Oryza sativa Japonica Group: one gene and its partner. Each later gene encodes a partner of the first gene's protein in a complex. Links are inferred from orthologs where the notes say so. Each region holds a gene or a part of one and is shown in the gene's direction. Other genes may lie near its edges.

Evidence for each region.
Region 2: vacuolar protein sorting-associated protein 54, chloroplastic (region 1) and vacuolar protein sorting-associated protein 51 homolog share a complex: the UniProt entries of both Arabidopsis thaliana proteins name them as parts of the golgi-associated retrograde protein (GARP) complex. The link is inferred for Oryza sativa Japonica Group from reciprocal best matches to the Arabidopsis thaliana genes VPS54 and AT4G02030.

Annotation. Positions count from the first base shown.
Region 1 is NC_089038.1:7,614,702-7,618,421, forward strand, and holds part of vacuolar protein sorting-associated protein 54, chloroplastic, read left to right. Parts: intron 1-615; coding exon 616-787; intron 788-888; coding exon 889-972; intron 973-1,693; coding exon 1,694-2,010; intron 2,011-2,241; coding exon 2,242-2,395; intron 2,396-3,720. UniProt on the Arabidopsis thaliana protein: Acts as a component of the GARP complex that is involved in retrograde transport from early and late endosomes to the trans-Golgi network (TGN). The GARP complex facilitates tethering as well as SNARE complex assembly at the Golgi.
Region 2 is NC_089037.1:31,134,275-31,137,994, forward strand, and holds part of vacuolar protein sorting-associated protein 51 homolog, read left to right. Parts: intron 1-1,049; coding exon 1,050-1,124; intron 1,125-1,291; coding exon 1,292-1,392; intron 1,393-2,081; coding exon 2,082-2,149; intron 2,150-2,398; coding exon 2,399-2,472; intron 2,473-3,022; coding exon 3,023-3,089; intron 3,090-3,282; coding exon 3,283-3,398; intron 3,399-3,535; coding exon 3,536-3,720. UniProt on the Arabidopsis thaliana protein: Acts as a component of the GARP complex that is involved in retrograde transport from early and late endosomes to the trans-Golgi network (TGN).

The DNA of each region.
Region 1 (3,720 bases):
TCAAAACTCTATGGAAAAACATATTTGAACTTTTTTTTAGGTTTGGAATAAAAATATTTTTATGAATAGATCCAAAATTAAAAATTAGGAGCTACAAAAGTTATATATAGAATCCATCCGAATATAGTTTTTGTTACTTTCTGTTTTTCTGGTTATTCTGAAATTTGAAATTAATAATTACAAAATCGTACCTGACATGGACTTTTGTTGTAATCTGAACCACTGTAATTTCGTCCCACCTTGAAGAATGGCTAGATTTTATTTTTCACCTTTTTCTGATAAATGCGAAAAATACCTCAGTTTGCCTAAAAGAACCTCCCTTTGTCCCAAAATATAGCTAGTTCTAAAGTTTTTCACTTCTATATTTTGGGACACCCTTTTGTACTCTAGAAGTAGCTATAGTTTGGGACAAAAAATTGAATGCTAGAAGTAGCTATATTTTGGGATGGAGGGAGTAGATATGCTTTTTATGTTATGTTAGCTGATGTCATGGTAGTGCTGTGGACAGATTCAATACAAAATTAGAATATTGGGTCAAATTCTAGGCTTTACCTCTTTTATATCATAATTATATTTGACAACACAATTGCTCTCTAATATTTGCCTTTGGTACAGAGCTGATGTCTTGAGAGAAAACACAGAAGCTGTTTTTGCTGCATGTGATGCTGCCCATGGACGATGGGCTAAACTTCTTGGTGTTCGTGCTGCCCTTCACCCCAAATTAAGACTTCAGGAGTTCTTGATCATCTATAATGTAACAGAAGAATTTGTAGCTGCCACTGAAAAGGTTATTTCTTTTCCTGTTTGAAAAATATGCACAAACGCTCATTATGCTCATCACTGCATACATGCAAGTTATGACTTTATTGTATCTTCTTATTCCTGTAGATTGGAGGCAGGTTGGGTTACAACATCCGTGGAATTGTACAACAACAATCAAAGCAATTTGTTGACTATCAGCATACTGTCCGGGTGAGTGATAAAATTTGTTGACTATCAGCATTTGTTGAATTCTACAATGGTAAACAACTTGCATGAGTTTACTGATGATGAAAAATTAAAAGGCCATTCTTCAAATGTCATCTATAAGGAGAGAATAATATTAAATATAAGACTACAAAGCATCATTGTACACAAACTTCAATGGATAATTGTGCTATTTTGAAAGAATATAAATCACTCAACTTTATCCCTGACCCCTCAGTTATAGATATCCATCAAATTGAATATAATGCTGTACCTTTATTATGCTTTTTAATTGGAGAATATTACTTGCGGAAAGTGCATTTCACCATCAAATACCCTGAGTAAAATGGTAGTGCAAACGGAGAATGTAAGGCTTAAACAAGTACTTCCTCCGGTTCACAATGTAAGTCATTCTAGCATTTCCCACATTCATATTGAAAAATATGAATGTGGGAATTTCAATATGAATGTGGGAAATGCTAGAATGACTTACATTGTGAAACGGAGGGAGTACTACTCAACAATTGACACTATAGTTTGTGAAACAATTAACATTATTAGGTGTCACTGCTGCTTTTTTTTGCTACTCAACAATCATCATAAATACAAATTTCAAGGTTGTGCAAACAACTGTGATTTGGATTTCAGACTGATATGTACTTTGTCTGCAGTTGATGCACAACTTATAGTATTTTTGTGCACTAAAACTTCTAATATTCTTTTGAAGATGGCAAAAATCAAGGCAGTTCTTGACCAAGAGACATGGGTTGCTATTGATGTTCCAGAAGAGTTCCAAGCAATTGTTCTATCACTATCATCCACTTATTCCGTTGCTAATGGCATGGAGATGCCTAGCACTGATGACAGCTCAAAGCTCCATGAAAATCGGGTTACAAGTCAAGAACCAGTAAATTCAGCTGAAAATAATACTGATAATGGCAACGCAGTATCTACTTCTCCTTCGACTGAAAACAATGTTGGGCATGCTAGATCAACACAGCAAACCATTGTGCATGGGGGTGTAGGCTATCATATGGTAAACTGGTTAGTCATCTATATTTTCTACTTAATAGTTCAGGTCAAGTTGCATTCTCTTCTTGCGCACCTTGCAGTGTTGCAACGTGACACTTTTATTTCCCAACATTTTGATAGCTAGAGTCGTAAACCATCCCTCTATTGATTTGTGGTCAACCTTGTTTTATTTGTTGTGTCTTTTTGTTAACTTGTGTTCTCATTACGTGAGATTCTCAATTTAAATCATGTTCACCCTTGCAGTGGTTTGATATTGTTGAAGATGTTATCGGAATATGTTGACATCAGTAAATGCTTGCCATCATTATCTTTTGAGGTGGTCCAACGTGTTGTTGAAATATTGAAGCTCTTCAACACTAGGACGTGCCAACTGGTTCTTGGTGCAGGTGCCATGCAGGTAGTATAACTGTTACATGCAATTTGAGTCATTAAGTTGTTAACAGTATAAAGTCTTTTCTCTATATCTGTACTCATTTAAAAGGGAGTAGCGGTGGTGGTGAGTCTGCCACCACCCCCACCACCAACTCTATTTTTTTGTGAGAAGGAAGGACAATGTAAGGCTAGAGGACCCACATGTCAGTAACAAATATATCCAGAAATTTAGAGATATATGCAGAAAATTATGGTAATAACAGGTTAATGATAATTTTCTTTAATCAAAACTAGTTGAATGCCCGTGCATTGCAATGGGAATTAAATAAGAAAACCACACCGTACACTCTAAAGCCTCAAAAATTAAAATAAAACTACCCTCATTCTAAAATCTTAGGGTCATATATTTGTCATCATTTTCACCTCACTTCAAAAGAAGTTTTTCCTGTTTGATGGCTTGAGGTTAGGAAGGGACAAAAGTCCATCCACCTCACTGTTTGGGGGACCCACATGGTAGTGGTGGTGGGTGGTGGCAGATTTACCACTCACCACCACCATTGAGGTCTTTGAAAAGAGTATATAGATCCTGTTGTAACGCGAGGGCGATATGCTAGTTTTTTTACAACATATGTAAACACAACTCTCGTGTTTTCATGGGTATGTAACACGGGTTAAGGACACTAGAAGTTCTTATGGATCATCTGCTCACTTAGGCTGCATTCATTTCTGGAGATTGAGAGAGAAACCCATTCGTTTTCCACACCCACAATACTTTTTTGCAAAAATTTTCTATAGGAAAGTTGCTTTAAAAAATCATATTAATCCATTTTTGAAATTTAAAATAGTTAATACTCAACTCTCCTTGTGGGCAAGATTTTACCATCAGTTATGGGTTAGTGTGCTATCAAAAGCAAGATTTGCATGCTTTTATCAAATGCTAACCTTGCTTGGAAAAGCATATTGCCTTAGCTTTTAGATCCATGCACACCTTAAGGCTTGGCTGGGTGTCCTTGGACATAAGTGGTGCAGTGGCACCATGGAACCATCTGCGCCTAAGGCAGGGAGGGAGATGGGATTATGAGACTAATGAACTTCTGTTTGTTCTTGTTTGATTAAGATATAATGATGTCCTTTTAATAGGATAGCCTTAGGCTGGACATAGCACCTCGTTTACTGAATGCTGTACCTCATAGCGTACCATGTTTTTCCATTGTTTTGTGTAATCTTTATCTCCATTCTCGAATAGTATGAGTTGTTTATGCTCAATGAACAATTTGTATCACTTTGTTGCACAAAAAAACTATTTGTGCAATTTGTTCTACCTATATGGAAATGCTGTTGCAAACAGTT
Region 2 (3,720 bases), on another chromosome or scaffold:
GAGCACTTATAGATTTACATAATTCCACCTGTAAAAGTTATCTTCTATACTGCATATGCAGGTCATCTTAGATTTCTCAGTTTTAAGTTTTTATTTTAGAGAGTAAACAAGAAAGTAACAACATGTGATAATATTAATGTGTAATATCAAAGACCTCCAAGTACTCCTAGCAAAAAATATAGTGCATAGTTGGTGGGGTGAAAGATCACTGCCATTACCGCTATTGCATTCTTTTAAAAGGAGTATAAACAAGCGCTACCACAAGATAATGCTGGAATGATCAACGATTCAACTTGTTCTTAATATCCATGCTAGTGGTACTCTTAATGGGATGTCTACATTTCAACATCTCTTAGCTTAAAAAACTTCCAAAACTTATCCTCCTGATACATCTTCTCATTCTCCAACCTTCTAACTTGTAGAACTAGTGGAACACCTGAACTCCTTTCTTCATATAAAGTTTTTTTCTTCTATTGTGATGCCTATTTTAACTTTTGTGCATGGGCACAGATCTTCTATTCTCTACACAATAGAACTACCATACGCTGATAATCTATAGTGGTTAATTCTGAGTTTTTGTTATATCTATTTTATTTGGTACATGTGTGAATATGACCTGTTAGTCAGATATCAATCAATGAAAATGACCATCACCCATAACAATTCTTATGCAAACGCCGTTACTTATTTTCCACTATAGCATTAAACTTCATATTTATTAACTGTGGTACTTATACAGCAATAGCACTCTCAGCTGCTCCGTATCATTTTCTTGACTCATAGATCTTCCGCAATAACACTGTCAGCTGGTCACAAGACTCTGCATTGATATGTTGAACCTCTGTTTATCGTTTTTATAATGAACTATGAGGCGATGCCCGAAAACAGGAAATAATCATGACTTTCTGTGAAGCAGGCAAGCAATAAACACAAATAACTAGTACATTGCTATGCTGTCCTGATGAAATAGCTAATAGATTTACTCTATTTGCATATAGTTCCCTATGTTTTTCTGTAAATCTTATCATGTTTAATTTTTAAATCAACAGGTGGACAGCCTGAAATCAAACCTACTTGAGAAGTTAGAAGATTGCCTCTTAAATTTCCAGAAGGAGCCCACACAGGTATATATATATATATATAAGAAATGTTAGAACTACTCAACAACTTCCATTTTATTTTTGACGAAAAATCTATAAAGTGTGACCTATTCGCAGGACTCAATTTACAATCCTTTTGCCAACCTCCTTACCAATAAATTATCTAATACCCTCCTGTATAACTTTCTCAGGCTTCAATTGGTGATATTTCAAAGACATTCCGTGCTTATCTCATAATATTTCCTGATTCAGAAAAGCGCCTCATTGAACTTGCACAGGCTTTGTTCTCAAAGTAAGTTGATTTTATATCTTATGCAAACAAACCATCATCCGTTTTTGAACAATGAATAACCAAGTCCTATCCGAATTCGTTGTTGTTTTAGGATTAGCTCCCACAATACCACTACCACGTAAAATTACATGATAGTTCTGCCCTCATTAATAAATGGTCATATCTCCACATGGTATTAAGAACAACCAGTAACTGAGGTAGTTGATATGAATGAAATCTTTTTGGAAGAAACCAGCTAGAAATGTCACATAACAAGTGTTTCTGCAGTGATTCTTGTTTTCTAGAAGGGAAAACAATCTTAAAGTTAGTAGTAAGTGGTGTCCCCTCTGGAGACTGGATATGAATACATGCACTTTTGGACTTAAATGCAGTCAAATTTAGAGAATCAACACTTGTATTTAGATTGGAAATATGAAAAACCATGTGTAGGCTTGCCTAAAAGTATACTTTAATACTATCATAATTTTGTCAGGTTTTATAAATATAGCAAAAGAAAACAGTGGTTAAAGTTGCAATGTGGGTTCCCTTTCAGTACTTGTTACCAGAGATAGTAATAACTCATAGTACATTATACCTCGATACCTTCAGCATGTTTATCCTGTTTGCTTCCTGTTTTAACTTGCATTTCTACTACGAGAATTTTATCATATATATACATTGTCTTACATTTTTTCTTATTTTACATGAAGCCGGTATGAAACGGTCAGAGAGAATCTGAGGAAAAGAATTCCATCAACATATCTATTGGCTATGTTACGTAAGAACTTACCTATGTTACTGTGCCATCTCTATTTTGTACTGAATATATGTAGACTGAACAATAAGTTGAGGATTAAGACTTGTTAAGTTTTTGAATAAATGGACTGTTGGGTTTTGAATTATTGAATTAGTATATTACATAAAAATTTGTTGTTTACCTATGGAGTCCTCACTGTCGATATTACTGCAAGTTGTAAGATCGTTGCATGTCCTTTGATTTAAGTCTGCTCCTTTTTTATGATCTCAGGATCCTTATGGGAGGACGCCACTGCCATTGATGAAGTTATACCTGAGGCTGCATTACCAGCTTTTTCTCTGGAGGTTTGACCTTGACCCTGTAACAACCTATTCATGGTTCTAAACCGGCTGATGTGTTGCTAGCTGCTAACACTTAACCACAAAGGTCATATTGTGTAGCCATTTGGTAGAAGTGTAGAACATCTAGCAGATAGAAGTGAACTGGTTGCATGGCTAAGTTTGGCTTTGGTGAATGGATGCATTTCTTAGTTGATATCCATAATTACCCACATTGTTTTTGCAATCGTCAGTGTTGAGGATTGAGGATTATTCTGTCACGGGTTTGCTAGAGGAGTATGATAATCTTATCCTGAAAGCTCTATTTTACGAATTTACAAATCAACAAAAAGCTGTTTGGCAATATATGTCTAGCTGAGGGTATTTTGTTAGTAGTAGAAAGTAATAGTTGTACTGTTAGTTTATTGACCCCTGTTTTCCATTACTCAAGTGATAAACTGAATATACTTCTGTAACCCAATTGCTTATTTTGGGTATTCTCCATGTCAACAGAACTGTTTATATATCTTGATAGTTGACATTGATTTCACATGTGCCAATGCCTTTTCTGTGCCAGACTACTCGGGATATTATTAGACAACATATCGCAACTGCCTTTCTTCATCTTCAAAGTGAAATATCAGGTTGCCCTCCTCCCACCGCAATTTGTTTTAGTTTTGCAAGTTTCGTGCAGAACTAATTGATATGATTTAAATTTGTTTTTTTCCTGCAACTACTTAGTTTTTTTGGGCTTTTAGCTTGTAGTACAGATAGGTTTGAAAACAATAAAGTATTTCCAAGGAAAAAAACTAATTTGTCTGGTGTATGTGTGAGCAGATGTACTCGCCAGAACACCCTCGACATCAAATGGGAAGTTAGAAGAGTCACAGCTGCAAACTGCCATGGAAACAAGCAAGGTTAAAGTATTGCAAGGATGTATAGATCTCCTGCAGGTATATATTGTGGATAATCTGCGGCATAATATTGTCCAAATAACATGCAGTTCTTTTACAAACTACTAGTAAGCCTATGCTTGCATAAGAGCATATATTCCAATGTTCTCATTTTTTTTTTACTATGTTGTTTCTAGGAATTTCATCATCTTATAGATGGCAATACAGAGTTACTTGTAAAACTGAGAGATTTGGTTATTGATTGGGTACAAGAAGGTTTTCAAGATTTCTTTCAGAAACTTGATGGGCATTTTCATATGCTTTCTGGGAGAAGCAAGAGTCCATCTCAAGAGATGGAATCGGTGCAAATTGATAAGGTTCC